Linked DNA regions of Drosophila melanogaster. The protein of the gene in region 2 interacts with the protein of the main gene of each other region in a pairwise test. Each region holds a gene or a part of one and is shown on either strand. Other genes may lie near its edges.

Region 1 (6,612 bases), on a different chromosome or scaffold from region 2:
TAAATATTCTGTGTATATTGTTAACAGAATTTTGGAGTACTTTGTTCTTAGAAAAGCAATTTAAGTTCATGCAGCAAGTTCTCATTCCAGGAATTTAGATGTGCCAAAGTGCATTTGTAGGATGTTTGTTGTACATATATATATATATATGTATATATATATATATGCACATATGAGCCCACGCATTCAGCCATTTCATTTCGACATACGACGATAAGCAGGACGAAGTTTGCAACTTGCAATTCCTGCAATTCCTCGGCTGCTCCTTTGTTCTAATCAATGTCCGATTGAGTGGCGATGTGTGCACTCGGAAAACCCTATACAATATATATATATATATATCCTATACAATATATATATATATATATATATATAAAATAATCAATATTAAGCCATTGGTCATGTTCAAATGTGCTAAAAAATTACAAAAAATAGTCTTCGAATTCCAAGTAGTTTCCTAAAAACTCCTTAATATTCATCAAGAGCTCGCCAATTTTCTGAAGTTACTGCTCAAGAAAAAGTAACAAAAAGCCAATCCGATTTTGGGCGTTCAATGTGGCTCCTTCTAATCGCATTTCATTTTTTTCTGTGAGAAATGATTCATTGTTCTCGTTGAATGCAGGTAATAATATTTTTTTTTTTTTGTATTATCCTCCATGGACATTTGTTTTTTTTGTTTCCATTGAGCCGGGGAAACCCCGCCTGCGTTTTCTTTCTGATTTGTTTGATTGCTGTTGCTGTTGTTTTTTTGTGTTTTTTGTTGTTATTTTTGTGTTTGTTGGTGGTGCAATTGCTGGTACGATACGACTGGCAGACAATAAAGAGCATTTCATTTGAATAATGCGAAAACATTTTGCTAGACGCCCGCTGCCATTGTCTAGCAGCCCATAATTTCCACCCAAAACGCCAAACGCCCAACGATGCCTGCCTCTTGTGCTCTTTAAACTGCTCAACTGACATGCCGATTGCTTTTGTCTGCACACCTATATCTGTCAAATACACCTCCGTACACTCGAGTCTGATTGCCCCTTGATGGACAGGACAGGAGAGTTCAGCTCAGCTCAGCTCAGTTCAGTTCAGTTCAGTTCAGTTCAGGGGGCGGCAGTGGGTATATTTGGTCATCGGAAATTGTCGATGGGTGGATAGCACAGTCACAGTCCGTTGTCCTGACTTTATGTTCCCCTTGGACTGATGAAACTTTAACTGGGGAAACTCCACATAGAATTGCAATACAAAGCTGATTATCGGTAGTATCGATACGTTTGATATTTGCTTGTCGATAGACATGAAATATAGATCAAATATGGCTGACCTAATTACTTCCTCATTTAAGTAACTAAATGGTCCCGTCAATTGAATGAACAGTTCACTATTTCGTTTCTTTTGTCTTAAACTATGAAAATCGATTATTTCGATAAGTGTACAGTTTTCACAATTGGTTATCGATTGCTCAGGCAGGCAGACGCAACGCTGACCAATTTCCACGGTAATTGCAGCGCACTCATTGACGGACAGGTCGTAGATGCCTTTTTCAAATAATGTCTACTTCGTTGCCTTGCTTCGAACCAATTTGAAGACCTCCTTGTTTCTCCTTGCCGTTTCCTTCCTCTGCTGCAATTGTGCGCCGTTTTTGGCGCCCAAACTTTGGTGTGCCTCGCCTGAAAGTATGCCACATTGCCCGTGACGAGGAGATTATTGCTATTGTCGTATCAATTGGAGTACACCCCAACAGCCTAGCAAGGAAGCTAGGAACTGCAGCTGTGGTCAATGCTGACCCTCGGACTAGAGTCAAAAGAAGACTCAAGCGACACCACCCTCATGACCTCCCTAACCTGGTTTTGACCTAGAAAGTCTTAGTTTTAAAATTCATTAGAATAATCAAATAAATAATAATTACTATGTTATATCAACTATTATAATTCTCCCTATCATTTTTAGGATTAAAAATCTGTTAGTCTTAAGTAACCAAGACACATTGTAAAATAAAATAATTTAAGCAGATCAAATTAAGTTGCCGCATGGGTAACAGTGCGTTGATCAAATAATAAAAACATCATCGTAATGGAAAAAAAAAAAAAAAAAAAAAAAAATCAATTGGTAGCATTTACATGCGGCGCGTTTTTCTCTATGTTGCTGAATAAATCACAGACCATACGAAACATGTTCGTATGAATAATTTGTGGACTGTATTGCTTTTGGGCCATTATCCTTCGATGGAATGAGGTCTCGTAATTGCTTTATAAAAAGCATGTTTTTGGGTCACCAAAAATTGCAGCATAATCGATTAAATTAGTAAATAAATCAATAAACATTTCCTCGGCCGATTGGCGACTGGTGTTAGATTACTAATTGCCGTTTGGCATTAATTAAGTCGCTATTTAGCAATTAAGAGGTGTTTGATGGCATTTAAGGAAATCGGTGGTTCACAGTCCATGATATTTTTTAAATGAATTTTTGAATAATAAATATAATATAAAATAATATAAATTAAGACATTTTTGTTTAAATCCAACGAATATAATTTTAATTAAATCAAACCATAAGTGTTCTGTTTTGCTAAACACCTTTCTCCAGGGTATCTCGCATAGCCCTAAACATTTCGGGCAACAATCCCACATGGCTATCCACGCAGTTGCTGGTGCAACGTTCCAAGCTATAATCGGATCCATTGAGGCGGCACTGCTGGATGCACTTCTCTAGGCGATTCTCAAAATCGGATATACCCTGCTGTACGAAGCAGCGTGATCGGGTCAAACGGATTTGGCAGCGATCGATGCACCGCTCCACCGCCTCCGCATTCGCGTCCGCATCCGCACAACAGGCGGTCGCACATCTGTGCATCTCGATCTGCAATTTGCGCAGATAATCCCGATCCAGATCCTCCATGGCGGTTAGGATTGCATTGTCAACGCGTTCTCGCTTCTCCTCCAAACTCGAATTGTCACAATCCATCTCGAGTAGTATAAAATTTATGGAAAATATAAAAGTCGGTTGGTAATTTTCGTTTGACTGCCCTTATTTGAGTTACGCAAAACGCAATGCTACTTTGGTTTTGTAATAATTTCTTCAATTTAAATAATATATGAGCAGGAAATGGGCGACTCGCAGTGTTAAGTAAGTTAGGTCATGTTCTTGACTCTTCTTGGGCAAATTTTTAAACTAAAGTCACGGCATTGACATAACTCAGTGTGAAGCTATCTCTAATTGAGTTTGAGTTAATTTGTTTTTTGCTGATAAGTGCACTACTGAAAGTGTATATAAGTAGAAGTTGGACAACGTGGCCGTGCATAGTTTTTAAAAATGCATTACTTGCATATCTTTGGGCTCTTGGTCTTTTTGGCCGCTTTTGGATTAAGCCTTGAACGTCGTGATAAGGAATTCTACGGGATATCTAAGGAGCAGCTAACGACTACTAAACATAAAGAGAATTCTGTGGAATTTGTACAACACAAGATATCCTTGAAGCTGCCGCAGAGATACAACCGATTCAAACGTCAGTCCTTTACGCCATTTGAAAGGCGTGTGATACGTTTACTACGTAAATTGGGCTTATTAAAAAGCGATGCTGAACAACTGTTGGATACTCTCGAAAAGGACAAGGATCTATTACGAAGATTGAAGAAGTTACTCGACGAGGTCGACACCGAACATGAGACCAATGATTTCCTTGAAGATTTCTTCGATTTAATATTTTTCAAAAAAATATAAGCAGCTTTCTTCCTGTTGTTAGGAATGATATTGATCGATAACAATATTGCCGATTATACCGATAATTAATGCCATAAAATCGTTTATTTAAATTGTTTTAGATATTGCAAACAATCTGATTGCTAATAGCTAACAATATCATTACGATAATCGTTTGGATTATTCTAATCCCTTACTTCCTCCATCGCCCTCACACGCCATCACTCTCTCTCTCTCTCTCTCTCTCTCGATAATTATCGATAGTTTGGGCACTTGTGTTGGACCAACTTAAAACACCGCACAAATGATTGCCATAAATTTGATGGCAACAAACAGCGACAACAAAAACAAAGAGTAGCGCTGCCGCCCGCACTTTCTCCGCAGTTCTCGCCATTTCTCCGCTCTACTTTCTCCGCTCCTCTCTCCACTCAATAATGTGCCAACTGTTGAGTTTCCTTCCGCTTCCGAATGCGAGCGCGAAAGAGAGAGAGCGAGAGCGAGAGAGGGTGTGAGACAGAGACGGGGCGAGCGGGAGTATGTGGGCGTTGGGCGGCAAAGGGTGAGGGAGTGAGAACGATACGGCCACTCGCTCGCTTGCTCGCTCTCGCTCTCTCTCTCTCCCTCCCTCCCTCTCTCCCTCTCGCTCTCTCGCCGGCATCGAAGGCTGCTTACAGGTGTTTATAGTACTTCGGCTTTTGCCGACCACAGCCGAAGTTGCCGGCCGATTGCTGGCCTCTCGCTCGCTCCCGCGCTTATGCTCAATAGCGCCCTCTCGCTCCCGGTCGCTTTATATTCCTGGCAATGCGTCGCCTTCGCATCAGTTTCATTTGAACGGTCGACGAGGCGCGTTGTTCTAGAAATAAATAACTCATTTAAATAGCAGAACAGCCCAAGCAGGCCAAACATTTCAAAGCAAAATACCAAAACTCTCTGGAACTACCAAGTTCTTAAAAAAAAACACCAACATCGCCCAAAACACAACAAAAACATCGCATACCATAAGAAAAACATAAACATACTGAAAAACTTACAATATCTAAATATAAAGTAACTATTTTTTTGATTGTGCTTCTAAGTGTTGTGCTAAACCAATATTAACTTGTACAAATATTCGAAAATATTCAAAGATATTCCAAAGTATTTATTCAATACTTGAAATATAAGCTACGATACAAACTTAAAACTTAAAACTATGTAAGACTAAGATCTAGTTTTTGTGCTTTTTGAATCCTAACTGTTAACGTGTAAAAGCACGCAAAAATGTGCACGAAATTTTGACTTGATTCGAACGACTGAAAAGTGCGTTCCATTGTAAAGAAAAACTAAAGCGGCAAACCGAAACGGTAAATATGAATATACTTATTGAAATTCATTGAAAAATTTCCTTGGAAAATTTGTTGATTAATTTCGTGATGTGAGAGTTTATTTGCCGTGTGTGATTGTGAGCAGCGTGTTTGTATTGTGATTTTTCGGAAATGTTTTTATATTTAGTCTTCAAATGGGGATTCCCAGATTTATTTAAAGTTTCAGCTACAATTTTTGGCAAATATTCGTAGTTTTAGGAAAAGCTCCACAGAATATTGTATTGTATGCTTCAGTTAATAGAATCACGCATGGAAATTATCAAGAATTCGGTTCTCAGCTTGTTGTGTTGAATTTGATGAGTTTTTTTGGAATATCATAAAATATAATCGGATTTTATAGTTTACAAAGAGTTTCAAAATTCCACAGATGTAAAATAGTTGACTCGAATTGCTTGAATATATTAATATATCTTAGTTTAAAGCAGTAATTTTTTAAAAATTATTTAAAGCTCGAGCTCTTTTTAGGCTCCACAAATATGTGTGCAACAATGTGTAATTTTGAATAAAATTCCGTGGAATGCCCTTTGCTTTTCATTCTGTATAAATTCAATTACCAACATTCTCATTGTCTCAGAGTATCCCCCTACTTTCGAATGTCTGTGTGTCAATAAGATGATTTAATGAAAAATCGTCTGCAATTTCGGTTCGAAATTCGGCAAAAACACGGCGAAACAAACTCGTTACGCATACGCCGTGTGGGCAATTGTATTAAACGATGCCATTCATTGAAAATTGCTGGCCAAAGCGAGCGGTTTAGGTTTTTTTTAGGCCACTCCGGTTAAGGATTTGGGTGTGCTCTTGTCGGCCAGCCAGTCTCGTTAGCCGAACTTGTTGCCACATTCGCATCCGCACTGGCATCCGCAACGACATCCGCACACGCATCCTTCGTGTACGTGTCCTTTTGCTAATCGGTGCGTTTAAGGAACTGCATGCTGGAGGATGTTGCAGCTCTTGTATTGGCGCGTGACCGGCTTTTCTCTGACATAAGAGCGCGAAATGGCGAAAATAACGTAATGGCGAAAGGCGGCACTCTGTGCGGTTGGCAATCTTTGATTTCGCATTTCCCCGGTAACAGGGGAAAATGTCAGACAACGTGGCGTATACGTGGCATTTGTGTTTGTGCTTCCGCTCGTTTGTTGTCCTCAAGTTTGCATTCAACGACGAAGGCACTTCGTCGCGGTAACCAAGTGTAAATATACAATTTAAATTTCTCTAAGGAAACTTTAAATTTATATATTTTTTTTTTAATCAATACGAAGAATTTACATTTTAAATCACCAAAGTATAAACATGAATGAAGCCTGCACATATTTGTAATAATAAATGTGTGCGCTTTGAAATGGTTTAAAGATTTTTGTTTTAGGCGACTTTGTTTGTTTCTGAAATAAAGAAATTGCTACCCATTTGTCTTGCGTACATATAAAAACGCGATGTTTCAATTGTTGATCCACAATTTTTTGTTTGCTCTTGTTTGCTTCGCTTCACATAAAATATTCAATTTTCATTTCTTGTCGCTTTTTTTTTATTCGTGACCCAGGGGTTGGGTTCGCATATAAAATCC
Region 2 (11,072 bases):
TGTCGGTCCGATTGGCTCAACAGGTCAGATCCGGAGCTGCGGGTGGTGCCTTCACCATGTGAGGACATTTATGGCCAGGCTCTTCCTGCATACAAATGCAGCCGGGGAAAAGCGGAAAAGCCGAGGCGCAGAAATTTATCACGCCATTAGTGGCGCACAGTTTACCGGAAAATATTCACAATTTGTTTATGTCAATTGTGTGTAAGCTTTTTGCTGTCAAATGGTCAAATAAATTATACTTTTATTCCCTGAATTAAATCGCTATTTATTTAATCTGAATAAATATAATTTCTGCATCCATGAGGTTTAATATCTGTAATGTCGTGTTTGCAGAGTTGTAAGTAAATGTTTAGTTTTGGGTAGTTTAAATATGGTTATTTATTTAAATGTTACCATTTAGTAAATTCAATTTGAAGTAAATTACTGAAATGTAAGTAATGAAATGTATAACTCTAATATGAATTGCACCCGATGTTAGGCATTAAGACATATCTGAATATTATTTGAGTATTATATTTAACGGATTGTTCTTTTATAATCCCTTGTATATAAAAATAGACAAGCACTGGAAGAAAAATGTCCCCCCATTGGCGTGCTAATTATGGATCTGCTGCCCATTATTGATGAACTGATGACGCTATCTGGTCACCAAAATAGCGAGTGCCAGTGGAATTGGGACTTCATAAACGCATCGGCACGGCGGCAATTCGAACATAATGAACTCAAAGCCAGGCCGTTGGGTCATTTGTCTATTATGGCGCATTGATTAGCGCCTGACCCCCATTTTGCAGTTCACACTTGCGGGTCGGGATCGCCCCACCCCGCCGACAAATGCACGCAATGCCACACATGTCGTGTTTAATTAACCCCGAACAATTTCAGTTTCCGCTGCACGCCGCCAAATTCCCTACACACACACCCACACACACATATGCACTTTGGCTGCACACTACTCACTCATACAAAAGGCACGCGCATAATATCCATACATACATGCATATGTATGTGTAGTTTGTGCCCTCTGACCCCCATTGTTCAGTCAATTCAACCGGATCCCTCGCAAATGGCCCCAATATCGGAATGCCGTCGGAAACACAGTGACCCAAATTAATCTTTGTCATTAGCAGGGCCCAACTGCAAGTGTCGAGTGGTATGCGATCTAAAGGCCCCTCACAGGCGATGACATCGGGATTTCGGGATGGATGGAGGAATAGATGGATGGATGCAGGGATGGAGGCGGTGGTGCCTCCAAAACCGCCGCCCTTGAGTTTCCATGTCTAGGCTCTGCGTAGACAAAGTGCCAAAAGTTTGGAAGCCTTTGCGAGATGAAGCTGAAGGGAGGAGAGAGAAATGTATATGAAAATTTCAAAATCACAACATCACAACAGAACTGCAACAATTACTCATCATCATCAGCTACAAATATAGATTTCTTAGAATATTGTTCAATAAATATTATTTATAAGATTTAACATAATACACATAGATATCGTTTAAGGTGCCAACTAAAAATATATAAGGTTAACAGTTAGTAAATGAACAAATTAAACAAAATAACAATTATTAATAATTACAAAATAAATTATTATGAATTACACAATACAGTTTAAATGATCTTACAATTTTTTATAAAAATGTATTTTTAAATCTTGCATTACTTAGCAATTGTTTTTGGCACTTAGTTAAACAAATGCCAACATTTATTGTCACTCCTTTATTAAGAAATTACATGTTTCCTACCTGATATAAAAGAAGCACAACAAAAGAAGTACCCATCGCAAAATCCCCCAGGATCAAGCATTTAATGTAGCTCCATTGTCCTTTAAATTCCCTGCACATCCCCGTGCTCCGTGTACTGATTATGAATCGCAAAGATTACCGCACATAACTATTATCATCGTCGGAGTTGGGAAAAGTGGGCTGGGAAAGCGAAAGATGGCTGGTTGGTTGCCAGTTAAATGGTTCGCCCGCACACTAATTGTGAGTAACACGTTCGCGTTTACGAAACTTTTCTGGGAATTTTCGTCGGAAAAGAGGCCAAGAGCCAGGAGTTTCGACCAGACAAGTCCTCATCTCGGCAACTGGGTACTGGGAACTCTGAACTGGAAGCTAGACATACAGTCAGCCGGCAAAGTGCTTAGACATTAAAGTTTTTGGCGCCCCGGTTTAATAGACCAGAAAATTCATTTTGGCCAGGTTTAAAGGGCCACCGGCCACCCTCATTAACAGCTAGCTCTTTGAGCAAAATTCTCCTGGACACTGGGCCGCAAACCTTAATTAAAGCAGCGGGACTGGTCTTTAAGCTTAGTCCTTTTTATAGCGTTCGAAAATCAATAAATTTAAAATGTACAAGCCACTGCGGGAAAAGGGAATAAAATCCTAGCCAGCTCACAAACACACACACACACGGTAAAAATAAAAATAAGAAAAGAAGGACAACAAAATTCCAGCCATTGAGGGAGAGTCCTGTTTTTTTTTGGGGGGGCGGGGATGTTGTTGCTGAGGCGACAAAGCAAGCAAGAAATCGCCGAGCCAAACATCCTTTTGTCAATACAAAATACGTACGTACAACAAAACAAATAAATGTGCCCACGAGCAAAGACAAAGACAAAAGTCAAAAGTGCAAAATGAAAAATCAAACAACAACAACAACAACAAAACCAGCAAAACACAAAAAGCCAAAACAACTCAGAAGCGCCACCCGGATTCAAAATCGGCATTAAAACGCATGAGATGAGATGAGATGGTATGATATGGGGGTTCCGATCGACGCATGCGCCAAAAGCTGGCGAATCTCACGGAAGCTGGGGAAAGGCAAATGGCTGGCTCTCAATGGCTTGCACGGGGATGGAGCCAAAAAGGATATGGGAGCACAGGATGTGCCATAAAATGGCGCACACGCACACACACACAAAGGCAAACAGTGGGCACTTCTCCTTCGGGTTGGAGAGAATTTCCTATCTCGGCAGCAGATGCTTGTGCATTTGGCCAAAGAAGAGCAAATGATTTTTAACAAATTTCATTAACATCAGAGGTCCGTAATCATTCAAGCATCGCGTTTCGTAACAGGGCCAGGTCAGAAGTCCGATACTGGCCGCCCCAAAACAACAGTTGCCAACTGCATTTCGAGTCCCCAAATGTGTCCTTAGGCGTCCTGAAAGCTGTGCTCACAAAATGTGCAAAGATACGTAGGAAAATCGCGTGAAAAGCCCTGAGAAAATTTCATAAATGTCTGTGAACGTGATTATATAGTTTTTCTATTCCCGAACTGAACGATTCCAAAATGATCGACGAACACCATCCCATGCAGATCGGAATGTGTAAGTATGGGCAAACCCGAGGAATATGAAGTCTGAATCTATTCCAATAACCGACGGCATTACAAGCCCAACATTCCCAATCCCGTCGGCATTTTTCTATCAGTTTATTAATTATGTTAAAAAGTGCTCATTAATTTATGGTATGTAAATAGCTTCAAGTAGAAGAGTGCATATATTTCATTCACTTTTTCTCTAGTTTAATCATAGTTTAAATATTAGCATCAAGTGATTAGCTCAAATCAAATACCTTTAGATAAGTGAATTAGGAATAAGCCACCATGTATCATGTGTTATATCGGTAATTGTGATATCACAATTGCACACTTTTCAAAGGTATAAAGTGGATTTTCGTTTTGGCCATTAGTGATTTTGATTTATAACAGTCAAAGAGATCAGCACATTTTATACAAATTTTATTCAGTTGAATTGGTTTTAAAAATACTAACTTAATAGCAGCATAAATAAGTTTTGCACATGAAATTATTAGAAACCAAAGATGAATTATTTGTGAAAATTTGCCATTTTCTTGCTAAATTCTACTTCGCACAAAGCAAATCCCAAGTTTAAACATTGCATCTCAACACTTTTGCTTCAATTTGCCTTCAGTGAATGCTATTTAGCACCCAGAGTGGCAAGTATGCATATGACCGACTGCACACACGTCCACTCGAATCCGACTGGCTGAAAGCCAATGAAAATTACAACATATTTTCCAGAGCAAAGCAAATTTTGACTTCTGTCAGAGATTAGGACAAAACAAAGCATTTGCGCTGCGATTGCTGGCACAACAAAACGGCAATGGCACCATAACTCTATTGTCTACTCAAATCCGATTAAATAAAGCGCTGTCAGTTGCTGCCGAGCGAACTGCTGGCAACTGACAGCGGATTCGGAGGCAGCACACAGCATCCTGGCAGCGCAGCCGACATCCTGGCAAGCATTTCCAAGGGTTTCCGCTTACCCACTCACTGTCGTCGACTGCCAACATATGCCGCCAGCAGCCAGCCGCCAGCCGCCGTAACCGAAATCCTGATCCCCTCCAGCCTCATCCTCATGCTTATTTGCTAAGCCCGAGCATATTTTCCGTAAGGGTGGAAATCCGCCAGCTAAATGCCCTCGGTTAGCCCCCGGATTCATTGAAATTCGTTTATAATCTACATAGTTATGAGCACTGCAAGGGGTGGCATTTGCAACCCGTCCCTCGATTTCCACTGCACATTAGAATCTAATTAGAGCGTGGGCAAGTGGAAGTGCTATCAATGTCGGCTTTACACTTGTCGTCCCAAAATCCTCGAGCTCTATTCTCCGACATGTCCGGCAAACATGTTGGTATATTTTCAAATGTCAAATGGCAATGACAGAGCACTAAAAGTGTAACAGGTGTGGTTGTTGAGCGGATTATTCCGCTGCACATCTTAGGAAATAGCTTCCCGCAGTTCCAAGTGTCACAAGTTAATGGGTATCGGGAATGGGGAGATCAGGACCTTGGAAATTGGGTTAAACACTGCTGGAGACTTCAGTTGCTATGAATAAGTAGCATATTGAAAAGTTTATAAAGCCAAAATACACCCAACGAACATAGCACACATGTCAGCAATATTTTGTTACACATAAATGAAGTTTAATTCATTATTAAATATATAAAAAGAATTGTATATAAAGGTGAAAACTCAAAAAATGCTTTAAAAAAATATATATAATGCTAATGCCAAAAGTTACAAAATAATTCAAAGAACAAGTTTTCAGCTTAATTTCTAAATGTTTTTAGATAGAGCAAAGCTAAATTGTTTCTGCAGGTTTTATATTGCGGTGGTTTTGTATAAATCAACCAAAAACTATATTGAATTTCATTTAGAGTACTGAAGTCACAAAAATATTTGCTGACTATTTTACAAATCGCTTAATTGGTTGACAAAACACTATTTGATTCCCATTTTCCCAGCTATTTTTCTGCATAGTTTTTCTATATCCAAATGGCAATTAAATGCAGTCCAATTAAATGTACTGAGAGCTGCAATCGACTATTTTCGCATTTATTTGTCATTTGGCAGAACAAACTGAGTGCAAGCTGGTCTAGAGCAATTCACGTCAATCAGTGCAAGAGGTGTAGCAAAAATTGTTAATGTAAACGATGGCTGGAATACTTTAACATTCTGGGCATATTTCTGGCATAAATTGGCATACCAGATATTATTTTTGCAAAACATTTAATGAAATTACGCACACATTTAAATCACTCAAATGCGGAATGACAAACACACACGCATGTGAAACGCACACCAGTGAAAACAAGGGAAAAACCAAACAAAATGAACGTCACACACACACAGAGGAGCACAAAAGCTGGAAGCTCGAAACAAATTACGTTGAAATTTCAACAATTTGCCATAAATTGAGACAACAAGGCACAAAAAGCCAACCAGTCAGCACCGCAAATGTACAGTAATTTTTTGCCACCAAGCCAAACAATCGCACATACGCATCGGTTACGCATACGCCACGTTGGTCGTATTTTTTACATGCCACATTTCGCATGGCATTTCGGGGAATTTCGAGTGCAGTCGCACTCACACTCGCACATTTACTCACACTCTTTCCGTTGGTGGAAAAGTCATTTCAATAATTGCAAAACCACAAATTTACTACAACTCGAAACGGTTATGGTCACAGTGCGAGGCAGATGGACATTGGTCCTGCCCGCAAAAACGGGAACCCTTTTTATGCCTGATGACCGAACCATAGTTGTAAATTGAGGGCGCTCTTGGCCACATTGAAAATAAAAATAACTGAAATGTTTCTCATTTGCATGTTCCTTTGGGGCGGTGGGCTGATCTGGACCAACGACACGACCGCAAAACCAAAATAGTTCCGATGGACATAAAATGTCAACAGCAGCAACTGGGTGCTGGCCAACTGCCGCAAACTGGGGGCCTCAATCAACTGCTGCTGTTGAACGGAAATGAACGCATGTTAACAACACCAACGACAGCAGCAACATCGGTGGTGGTGGCAGCCGGAAGGAGTGCGAGTACCAAAGCCGGAGTAGCCCACAATGACAAAATGGCGTCAGTCAGCAGAACTGTCAACGGAAGTTGCAGTAACCACAACAGCAGCAACAGCAGCAGCAGTAGCAGCACCAACAGCAGCAGCAACATGGCCATAAACAAGCAACCGATGGGCATGGGACCGGGCACAGGAACCGGAATGGGAACAGGAACAGGACATGGTCCAGGACCACCCAACCATACACACTGCAACCGCATCACTTTGGGCGAGTGCAGCCTCAATGGAATGGACGGCTTTGCAACGCCGGCAGCACCTCCATCGGCATCCAACACACCGCAAGCGCCTCTGGGAATGGCCTCCAATTCCGGCATGGGCATGGAACTGGGCCTGGCCATGGCATCGCCGCAGCTGAGCCAGTGCGCCCACTGCTGCCAGCCCATTTGCGATCGCTACATCATGCGCGTGGTGGAGAACTCCTTCCACGAGGGCTGCCTCAAGTGCACCGCCTGCTCGCTGCACCTGGTCCACTCCTGTTATGCGAGGGAGGGCAAACTCTACTGCCGCGTCGACTACGAGAGGTGAGTCCTGATTACTGAACCCTGCCAAACGGGGGGCGCTTAAAACAATCAACTCCGTGTGAGTTGCACTTACTTTAAAATGGTAGTGTTTATTAAATGGTACAGCTTAATATTTGAATGATATGATATATATTTATATTTTCGCTCCACAGACTCTACATCCGCAATCATTGCCTTGGCTGTGGCCTTAAAATCGCCGCCGATGAGCTGGTGATGCGATGCCACGAGAACGTCTTCCATCTAAAGTGCTTCGCCTGTGTGGTGTGTGGAGCTCTGCTGAAGAAGGGGGAGCAGTATGTGGTCAAACAGGGGCAGCTCTTCTGCCGCTTCGACTACGAGAAGGAGGTGGAGATGCTACAGGGATACGGTGGGTAATGGCCCTATTCGAAATCGGTTCCCAATGATAACCATATAACTATGTAGATTTCTATGGCGATGAGCTTTTCCCGCCCAAATTAGACGGACGAAGAGGACCCAAGCGACCGAGAACCATTCTAAACACGCAGCAAAGACGAGCTTTTAAGGCCTCCTTCGAAGTCTCACCGAAACCGTGTCGAAAAGTGAGAGAGAATCTGGCCAAGGATACTGGATTAAGCCTGAGAATTGTGCAGGTGCGTAAAGAGGTTTAAATGGAATTTAATCATTACATATTCTATTAAACCAATATCGTATTTTGTAGGTTTGGTTCCAGAACCAGCGAGCCAAGGTCAAAAAGATTCAGAAGAAGGCCAAGCAGGAGCCGCCCAGCAAAGGAGCTAGTGACTCGCAGGACTCGCAGGAATCGCTGGACAGCAGTCTGGCCACCAAAATCAAGGACGAGGCGCACAGCGACAGCGAATCACAGCTGGAATCGCCGTACTCGACGACCTCCGATGGACTGACCCGGATGCGATGCACCATTAAGGACGAACAGGAGCAAGTGCCCTTCAACTGTATGGAGACCAATAAAGGTGGGTTATGCCCTTTAAGGATATTTACGTATCAAGGAATATAAAATACAATTTACAGAGAACTGCAACAAGAACAGCGAGCCCATATTGAACACCATTCTAGGTCTGAGCTACGCCACCTTTCAGCAACTAATGGGTCCCTTTGCCCAGACGCCTATGATCAATCCGATCGACCGACTATATAGTATGCAAAGCTCCTACTTCCGGCCGGAGGAGCTGCAATCCTACGGCGAATGCGGCGTCAAGGACTCCATGGATCACTAGTCCGCCCGGCGAAGGCCGTCGAATTTTAAGCCCAAATCAAAATTAGACCTTGTAAAATAAAAGAATGTTAATGTGCTAGCAATCGAACTTAAACACCCCGAACCCGGATAAGTGGATTTACTGCCCTTCCACCCCCCTTGGAAGCTGGACCACTTGCGCAATCCACCCACCGGCCGGGTTGGTGGTTGGTGCATCCCATGTTGGTGGCTCTGCAGGTGCAGTCTCGAAATTAGTTCCGCTCGGTTGACAGGCACAAAGCATTTGCCACAGCAGTCGCAACCCTGCTGAATTCGTCCTTTCGGCTCGGAATGGGCGTAAAATGCCGATTCGTCATGCGTAGTTCAAAGGCTCGGATACGAAGGGATCCGGAACCGTATCCTCCCCACGATGACGAGCCGTTTGATAGCGTCGACATGAATGTGCTGCAAATGCCGCCCAAGGACAGCACTTTTAACTAGCATCCTGGCCTTTCGTTTTGCTTGAGCGGAAGAACTGCATCGGAATGTCCCAAACCCAAAATCTAAGACAAATTGGGTGGTAAATCCTTAAGCTTTCAAAGGCATAGAAAACCAAACTATAAAAAATGCTTTTTAACAAACAACTTTTTTGCCGAAAAACAATATTATATTATATTAAATATAATATGGTTTTTGAAAGCAGAGGAGAAAATTCATTTCATTATCCTACTAAAATATTTATATAAAATCCTTGAAAAAGCTAAACTATAAATAATTATGAAATTCAAGTTGATTTGTTTTGTAAATCGATCCAATTGTGTTCAGACGAACACCTCATAGCAATCAAACACTGAATAGCAAGCTTTTGCATAATTGTTATCCTTCCGAGACTAGGCCGATTCCGAATTTAGGAACTCGAATGGAAAACACTTGGACAATCGGTGGCTAATTGATTTACGAGGAACTGCAACACGTGTTTACACAACTCCGGATGAATCCAACCCCGTCGCGGAAGGAACAAGGACCCCGTCACTCCGCCAAGTTCCGTACAAGTTTGTGCAATTTGTCACAATATGTGTCACATTAGCCACAGCAATTGTGCTTAAACGTCACCGTCTCGCCGGGTATCCGGTTTTTGTGCCTCCTCCCCGGATGTCGTCATCGTCGTCAGGGCCGCTAACCAGATTAAACCCCAATCGCGACACCGATACGGCCAAGGATATCCTTACGGTCCTCGAAGGGGATGTTTGTGGTAGGGGTCGCTGAAAAAGTGGGCAAACAAAGAGCCGGGACTCAACCACCGTTGAGCCAACTGCCACCACCACCACCACTATCACCACTACCACCATCATCATCGGCGAGGAATCTGCACGCACCCCATTTCCCTTGCAGGATATCCGTGTAAGTCGTTTGCAGATACACGCATTAACTGTGGCCGTAAAAAAGAGATTCAGTGTCCGCATCATTAATCAAAAGCGGACAAGGCCAAACAAGTGCATTGCGCATTCCGAAAAAACTGCCCTCGAGAATGACGAAGCGATGTCCTGGAAGTCCTTTCTGCAGTGTCCTTTTGCCATTGAGAGCACCACTTGCACCACCTTCAACCACGTGCTCCTCCGCTGAATGATCCTTTTCCGCTCGTTAATGTGTGAATTACACAATTAATTACTGTGACTGCTATGGATGGTAAAGTTATTCAAATGCTCTTTCACTTGAGAGGGCACTTTTTTCATGGATTTCAATATTCCTAAAATAAATAACTTGGCAATGACTACATTCAGGATTTCTACTACTATACTTTTTCGTTATTTTATATCAATACTTATTTATTCTTAAAGAATTGACTATAAAGAATAACCTAAGTATTAAACAAAGCCACTCAATTTTGAATTTGCAATCGAAAGATGATTTCTTTTTAAATTTAGCAAACACCAAACCAAACGCCAGTTTGGTGTCCCCTAAAATGTCCCTCAAATTGCAAAATGACTTTTATGGGAAAATCAGCCAGGGAAATGCTTTCAAAATTGAATCAGTTCTAAAAAAAACGTTGACAAAAGTTACTTTTTTATACGGTACTTATGAATTTCCAGCTCGTAATACTTGCCGTCAGCATTTTATGTAAACAATAAAAATCAAAAATCAATTTTGCGTTCCCATAAAAGACCATCACAATACTCAGTTCACAAAGAGTGGCAAATCGCATAATAAACAATATGGATGTCGGGTAAATAAATGTGCATTTGCTTTTATTTTCATAGGACGCATGTGTTGACAAAGGCTAAAATGCGATATTGAGGTAGGAAAATCTATGTGGATTGATATTTGCCAAATAAATGGCAAAAACATTAGACGATTGATATGGCAAATCAATTTTGGGCAAACTGAATGAACGATTGTAGTTTGGGCACAATAGATATTGATGTATCTGATTTAAGTGTCCACCCATTTAATTTATTAATATTATAAGCTTATTGAATTTTCTTGAAAAACATCCACTCGCAATTCGAAAAAGGTGAGTAAAGTCCGCACTGTAATACCAGCAGTTGGTGAAACTATTTCGATGGGAAACCGAGGAAAACGCAGATTTTTCGTCGCAAACTTTTCACTTATAATTATGTAAATCGGTGCCCATGAACACGAACTTCCCACCGCAGAGGGCTGCACAAATTGTCGAGCAGCAGATGTCACTCCACTCGTTGGCCTTTTCCTGACCAAACCAGTTCGAAGAAGTCACTTGTGCCAGTTGTTTGGCATCATTGGGTTAAGGGGTTTTGCGGGTTAGCCAGCTTTGGGAGATTCGTGGATGCTGGCCGCCTGGAGTGGGGCGCAATCTAAATGCAAATGGACGGCCAATGACTAAATGCGAGCCGCTGGCCCCTCAAAAAGCCACAAAGCCATAACCAGGAATCTCTCGCATAATACACAGAAACCAAATGGGGGTACCGAAGTGGGGCTCCAAATGAGGGGTGAGGGGTGCTGGGCTCCAGTCACTCAGTG
Region 3 (7,972 bases), 320 kb from region 2:
TCCAATAGCTATAGTCGTTCCCATTCCATTCGGTTGCTTTTGACTCCGAGGGCGATCGGCACTTGAGGCACAAAGAGCACCGATTTGTTGATTTGTTTTGAGAAGTGAGTAAATAAGTATGTTTCCATTTATGAATGTGTTTGTTCTTGCTGGTGTTGCTGTTCTGTTTGATCAGCAATTTCATTTTCGAGTGCCATCGATAAGATGGCCAGGTGATGATAGTGTGACTCTTATCTAGAATGGCTGATAACGCCAAACACTGATTGGTGGTGAGTGGAGCTCCCACCCACCGGCTATTTGTCGATAGAGTTTTCCGGCTCAAAAATGGAGAATATTATGCCCAAGGACTATGGCCAATTTGTAACAGAATCTTTAGTGTTGAGTACACCCAACATGGCTCCCCTTGGAGTCGTGGCTTAAACTGGACTTCCAACTCCAAGTGTGCAAACCCAAAACACAAACGAAAACAAATTCATTTAAAGCAATTTGCATGAAGAGAGAGAGAATCCTTTTTGTGCTTGTTACGGTGACTTTATCGTTTATCGTTTTGCGAAAAGGATTTTATTATATTCACCAGAAGCACTATCCTTTTGCCTTTGCATGTGTGTCTGTCTGTGTGTGTGTGTGTCTGTGCGGCAGAAGATTTTTCGCCGAGAGGAAACTGTATGTGTGAGTATCTGTGTGTGTGCCACATACTGAAAAGCGACAATTTCATGTCCAAATGCTTTCCAGGTGACATGAAACAACACTTAAGTAAGAAGCCTTTCTGGGGAAGGAGGTGGGGTGGTGAATATTCTGCCTGCAACTCTCTGTGCAACTGTATCCATTCCACCCACTCAACGCCCACCCATTCACTCACACACATTAGCAGTTAAATTTGTTGGAGTGTGTGTGCGAGTGTCTCTGAACCAACGCACCTGGCGTCGAAGAATAATATCTCTTAACGCCAAAATCTACATTTAAATTGTTTTCAATATAATCTGCATGTCCTGTCCACCGAGTGAGCAATGTTCGAGTGTGTGTGCTGCACTAAATGAAAGCAGAGCTCAGACAATGGGAATCCTGGGATCAGGACACTTATGGGCACGGGCTACGTGCTCCCAAGGATATGCGACATGTGCCACAGTTCACATGTCCGAAGTCATCAAACAAATCACTCAGAGATATTGATTCAAGGAGGTAAACACTGCAGAAAACATTCGATTCAATTAAAATATACTCCAATTAGCATGATACTCATTTTACATATTTTCTTAAACATTTAGTATTTATTTAATATAAGCTTATAATTATGCTAAATATAAATTATATATAGATTATTTGAAATGTTCATCTTGTGTATCTTCAAAATATCGAAACTTAAAAAATTACACGAGTATAGTCCTGCTTATTTGATGATTCAGAAATTGTTTTAATATATGATTACTTTACATAACGTTTTGGTATGATTGGATTGCATTTATGTTGTTTTCAATTGAAGAATAACTATTTGCAACTTTTAAACCAATCACAATTTGGCTCTTTAGAAATTCAATTTTTAAAAGCATACATTTTAAATTTCATGGATGAATTCTTTATTCTCAAATGCATTTCTTTCATGTGAATCCTTTCGTATTCCAGATCCCCAGACTCATGAAGTGGGTGTAGAATTTCGTGGCGCCGCCAAGAGCGTCCAGAAATTGAGTACCGATCAGGAGTTTGGGCATTCGGACACTTTTCCCAAAAATACCCGGTGCATTTTCATTTTCCTATGCAAATGACACATTGCTACACACACATTTACATATGCGTTCGTTTGTAAGTACCGAAAAAAGTGCCACATGTGCGTCTCTTTTGACTTTGAGATGCACTCGCATTTATAATAAATGGCAGCGCGTTAACACCCCAAAACATCAAAATACTCATTTTACAAAAATTCCCCAAAAACGTTCAGTTCCCCTCCCCACCCCGCCCGCTCCACATACCATTAATTAGAACGCACTCGACTCGAGGACCCTCAAATGGACCGGCCACGCCCCCTTCCTTGGATCGAATGGAATCGGATTGTTTGTTTGTTTTTTCTCCTATTTCGGTATCTTGTTACGATTAGCTAGTCCCAATTAGCTGCGATTTTCGTGATTTGGCCTTGAGATATTGGAGCATTAAGCACTTTTATGGGAAATGTACAATGCATATATCAAGCTATTTTTAAAAAAACACACACACACTGTAATGATTAAATGTTGTTGATGTTACCAATAACGTACGGATTAGTTTTCTTAAATAAAATTAGATTTTGGCTTTATATACTTGCAGACCTTCTAAAATAATTTAATTTGATTACTTTTTAGATTTTCCAAGTCCTTACACCACCCAAAATTTAAATGCACATTAAAATATCAAACTTTTTGTTTATTGGGAGCCAAGATAGAAAAGCAAATATGTTTATTAAAATATAAAAACATGCTTATATTTGTTTGCTGTATGTTATTTTTTGTAGTTTGATGTGACATAGATTATATTTATTTCAGCTGGGCTTATAAAAAAGGTTTTATGTTTTTGTTATTTTAATATTGAAAATTCTCTTTTAAAATTTCAAAGAATAATTGGAAGCGGATCAAATAAAACACTAAACTACTCAATATTAAAGAGATTGTATACCCACTCGTCTTGAAAAACATATCTTTATATGCCTGCAAATTTTCTTAAACATTATATTTAATTAATTAAATTAATGTTTGATTTTTTGAGATTGTAGAAAAATGTTCCAATTCTTCCCACGAATGTATGCCCAGACGTATTTTGACCAGTTATTATGATAGCAAATCTTCAGCAACTCTTTTCTAGTTTTTCCAATTATTTCTGTATTGTACTTTTTTATCAAAATCGGAAAATTCTTAGCCAACTTTGGCTACAATATCCAATTGGGAAGCCTTTCGATCGTGGTCCGCCATGAAATCGCTTCCAACGTCGACAGAGAGGGGTCGGCAGAAAGAGAGCGTCGACTTACTTTCCAGTGCTTGGAGGTGGGCGTTCTCAACGAACAAAGCAACAACAGCCCCAGAGAGTCTACCCTTCTCACTCGTTACCAGACCACTCACAGACGTGCAAGCGAGAAGGCTGCTGCTCGTGGCTGCCAGTCTGATTGGAACGCTGGCCAATGGGAGAGCTCCTAACTGGCTGGCTCTCTCGCGGCCCTGCAGCCATCCCGTTTACATCGCTGCTGCCATCTCTGTCACACGCAACCGCGCTGCTCGCTGAGCGGCCGAAAAACAGTTTGTTCCGAAACGCGAATAGGTGCGCATCTTCGCATCTTGGCATCTCCGCCGCGTCGCCCAGTAAACTCGAAAAAAGGCCGAAACGAAAGTACCGACGAACGAGTTACAGTCACCGGATAAGTCACAGTCGGTTATTGAGTCGCAGTCACTGCCGTCGTCACCGTGGAGATACCGCTGACAGGTTGGAACGGAACCCGTTTTTACTGGAGCATTGCCAGCGGATCGGATCGGCAGATGCAACCGACGTAGATAATGAAGTGCGTGCAATAGTTATGATAAAAGTAAATACGAAAAAAAGGGACCCGAAAAGACAGGCAAACCTCTCTAGAAATGTCTCGTTAAATATCAAAAGAAACTCGCCATAAATTCGAAACTATGTTTATTATTATGGATCACATATCAAAAAGTTTCCTAAGCTGACTTTAAAAAATTTCGATACAGTGTGGAAAAAACTGAAATACCAATCAGTGGGTAAACTCGCAAACCAAACTGACACATTCTTTTGACCGAAGACTGAAGAGCCGCGTACATTTGTAAATCTGTTTGCGGCAAACACTTGAATCCAATTTGCTTTGCCCGGCTGTCGTCTGTGTGTGTCTTTTTTTAACCATTTTGGTAACCGGCCGCCAAAGAGTCAAACAGAGTCAATAAAAATCAAGTTAAAACGGATGAAAACGGACGAGCGAAATAAAACAGCAAAGTCACACAAAACAAACAAAACATTTTCCGGCTCCGGCGACATTAACAGAACTGCTCGACATCGACAATTTGTTTTATCAATTTTCAACAAGGCCAGCCAGCAGCAGCAACAACAACAATAGCACAACACCCAACAAGCCAGCAAACAACAAAAGCGCCCAGAGTGCTTAGCCGTCGAGCACGCACGCCAAATCCGCCCAGCCACCCAACCCAACCACCCACTGGCCACCCACTTGAACCTCCCTTAAGCACCCAACACCATCCCCACATCCTTGGCCACCCCTTTTTCGAGGGCTCCGCCAGCATCCGCATCCGCAATCGCAAAAAAAAATAAGAAAACAACAAGCAAACAACGAGGGACGCCCCACAGTGAAGCCCCGGCACAGTGAACTCGCGTGTCGCCGCTCTTTAGGCCAACTCAGCCAGCGAGACAATGGCTGCATATGCGCAGTTTGGATACGCTGGCTACCCGACGGCAAATCAGGTGGGTTTATGCCGGTGGTTTGTTTAGAGATTAACAGTTAACCGTTTTTTTTAAGTCTGTATTGATTAGTAAGCAAACTTAACTTAAGTTTTAAACGGTTATTTAGCACAGACAACAATTTTAAGGAATCTTTTAGTATGGATCCAATATTGTATCTTATATATACATTTATATTTGCTTTGAAAATGTTGCTCCCTTTAGATTTTGTCAATAATATATTCAATTTTAAAAGTAACAAATTCCAAATCAATTAAAAACCTTATCCAAATTTTTTTTTGTAATCTCATAATTTGTGTTCAAACTGAAGGCCATAAATACCATATTATAAAGAGCACTTTGCTTACAATAATTATTGTGAATAGAATCTGAAGATTTATAAATACATTGATTTAAATTGAGTAGAATGCGAAAAACCAGTTGAAAGAGCAAATTTCTGAATTATTGCTACTGGGTGCCTTAAATTTAAATTTAAAACAGATGGCTTAGTCATAACAATTTATATTGGCCATGAAATTAAATTTATTAATTTCGTTATATGTATTTATTATATTTTGATTTACAGCTGTGCCATTTCAATATGCAGCCATAACTTAATCATTTCAAGAGACACTTGAATATACTATTTATTTAGTGCGGACTAAAATAATATTTGGCACACACACAAAAGATGTTTCATAAAACCAGAAACTGAGTCAGTTGAATATTTTGGCATGTGCGAAAAGGGAAATCTTTAATAATGGACGGTGCGAAATAACTTTAAATTTACATATTAAGCCGGCGGGTTTGGGGAGCAGCCACTGCACATGAATATTCAAGCACTTTGGCACCGGTTGGGGCTCCTGGATCCCTATATATATACATACATATATATATAGATATATATATATATATGCGGATATAGCCATAATGGCCGCCCCGCCGCCAAGAAATGTTTCACAATTTAGGACAGCCGTCACCGCCTTGGATGCAAATCGCTGGTAACCGAAGGGGGGGGTCTGGTGGGGCATTCCGGTGGCAGTGCATCGTCCGAGGTCTGGTCATAATTACCCGGTATTCGGAGCTCAGTAATTCAAATTAGTTGGCCCAAACGGGGGGAAGTGAAACACTTGCAGCTACAAAGCCCTTGCAATGCCTGTGTAAGCCATGTTCAACGACTACTATGTGGTCAAATGCGTCAATGCTAGTGCGTTTATCCTGCTGCCAATTTATGTACATTTATATATATACATATGTATATATGTGTGTATGTATACAATATTCCTGACCACGGTGGCTGGCATAAATTTATGCTAATGAAGCCGCCGGCGGAGTGGTGCACCATTTATTATAATATGCAAACTTGGTAAATTACAATAATTAAAATAATGAACGTTCAGATTATCGACTATAATTATGGCTGGAGATGTGCAAAAAGCCTTTTGCCTTGCAATCGATTAAGAGCCAACAGAATTTTGTCATCGTTTTCGGCTCATTTGCATACGTCTACTAAAGCCACTAAAAGCCACTAAATGCGACTAAGCCACCAATGAAAGACTGGTCAGTTGATATGGCATTCGGGTGCCAAATTTATGCAGTGCACACACTCGGGTTCTCATTAATTTAATTTTAATTTCGACGCCAAGACGGCATTCCAAATATAAAAAAAAACGACAATATATAAATTTAATCAACGGCTGACAGTTGGCAGTAGCAAAAGAACTTGCAGGCACATCGCACATCGAATTCTTAACTTCCCATGCGAGCTGTTCACGCATTTCATGGCAAAATAACTAAAATTCTAAGGCAGCAAAAAGTGCGCGACGATGTCGAGTCCTGGATTCACATAGGCTCCATCTGAAGCCCCCCCAAATTCCCCATCTCCATCTCCATTGGGACGCAAAAGGACAAGCCCGTAAATGATGCGAGAAAAAACTAATATTTCGCAGTGTGCATTCCATAATTGATTTATGAATTTTTAATGCAAACATTGAGACCGCAGTTGAGTTGCGAAAGAGTTGTTCCACTGCGAACCATAGTATTCTGCGCCCCAACTTAATTCAATAAGCAAGCCCCACAAAAAACCGAGCAACTTATTCGCATTAGCAAAAACGCACTTTGGAGCCAGTCCCTTTGGCCATTCAATGCACGGCGAGAAAAAATGTGGGCAATTGGTAGGGGCTTATTCTCAAATTTATTTTAATGACATAGAAGCGAAATAGAAGCATAAATCGGTAAACTTAGCTGTTCACTACCATAAAACTTATATCCATACCTTTTATTTAGATAACAAACATAAATTCTACATAAATTTAATTCATTTTAAAAATTCTTATTCAGGAAGGTTTTTGTTTAAGTAATGTTTCTACAAGTTCTATATAGATATTTAAATAAATTCAATTGATTTTATCTTAATTTATTCAGTAAAATAGCAGTTGTTAAATGTATCTAGAAACTAGAAAGTGAGAATTGTTAGACTTTTCATACTATTGAACTCTTTCAGCTATGTAGTCCAGGATTTAATATGATTTTTTGTAGTATTATTTTTTCCCAGTGCACCCTTTAAAGTGGGCCTGGGTATCTGTATGAATATGGCATACTCGCTTGGCAACGCAATCCTGCGGATGAATGTGAGAATATGCCAAATCCAAGAGGAGGACTGACTGCGAACTCGAATGCGAACATGTGTTTGTTTGTAGGGACTCCTTCGCATTTTCAGCTTCCTTGTCGCCGAGCTGGGATTCTCATATTTTCGCTTATTGTTCTGGCCTGGCGTCAAGCCAACCCCCCAACCCGCCCAACTGAAGGAAAGCCCCTCCAACTAACCAACCAAGCCCAGGCCAATAGCTTTTGTTTCACAATCGTCGTTGTTGTTAGGAGTGCAAAAACCAAATCCATAAACGCATCTCCAGCGGTAGCAGAAACAACAGCAGCACCCAATAACCACAACAATGCCGATCTCCTTTGTCTTGACTATCCCATACCGTGCCATCCCATGCCATCCCATACCATACCAAACCATACCATACCATACCATCCTAACCATATCGTACTCGTGCGTTCGTGAATTGGCAATGGGTGGGAGGGGGGTAGGCAGGAGTTGGTAGGCGGACTCGTGAGCTTTAACATAAATCATAAAATTAATAACCGTAAAGTGACGGCACCAGCTCCACCAACATCTTGGCCCCAATGGGTGCGGGTGGCCATCTGTAGCGGTATCGGTAAAGGTATCTGCAGATACGTATCTGCATCTGTGCATCTGGAACTGCATCTGGATGCGTATATGGATGTGGGCACATCAAAGGCAGAGATAGAGATTTACACGATGTCCATGCCGGTTCAACCGAATTACGGTCAATGAATATTCGCCCGCTTTATTCCAGCTTGTTTAGGTTTTATGCTCTTGTATCTGTTGGTTTTCAGCTCGTTTGGACTTTCGCTTGTCCAGCTGTTTTGCAGATTTCATGTTTGCGTTTTGCGGCTAAAGATGCAAGGTTGAATTGCCACTTTGAACTTTGGTAATGGCGCATAAAAATCGGGCTCGTATTGCTTGTCT

The links. The genes of interacting proteins can lie anywhere in the genome.
Region 1: the proteins of CG4328 (region 2) and CG12661 interact in a two-hybrid assay, tested with the Drosophila melanogaster proteins (one large-scale study listed by BioGRID).
Region 3: the proteins of CG4328 (region 2) and caup interact in a two-hybrid assay, tested with the Drosophila melanogaster proteins (one large-scale study listed by BioGRID).

What each region holds. Positions count from the first base shown.
Region 1 is NC_004354.4:8,920,667-8,927,278, forward strand, and holds CG12661 (uncharacterized protein), read right to left. Parts: upstream 3,022-6,612; 5' UTR 2,953-3,021; coding exon 2,557-2,952; 3' UTR 2,222-2,556; downstream 1-2,221. Other genes in the region: CG43255 (uncharacterized protein), read left to right, coding at 3,301-3,708.
Region 2 is NT_037436.4:12,288,082-12,299,153, reverse strand, and holds CG4328 (uncharacterized protein), read left to right. Parts: upstream 1-3,030; 5' UTR 3,031-3,283; coding exon 3,284-3,320; intron 3,321-6,186; coding exon 6,187-6,904; intron 6,905-7,056; coding exon 7,057-7,271; intron 7,272-7,327; coding exon 7,328-7,515; intron 7,516-7,583; coding exon 7,584-7,854; intron 7,855-7,912; coding exon 7,913-8,118; 3' UTR 8,119-8,198; downstream 8,199-11,072.
Region 3 is NT_037436.4:12,606,380-12,614,351, forward strand, and holds the start of caup (caupolican), read left to right. Parts: upstream 1-3,251; 5' UTR 3,252-4,389; coding exon 4,390-4,440; intron 4,441-7,972. UniProt on the Drosophila melanogaster protein: Controls proneural and vein forming genes. Positive transcriptional controller of ac-sc (achaete-scute). May act as an activator that interacts with the transcriptional complex assembled on the ac and sc promoters and participates in transcription initiation.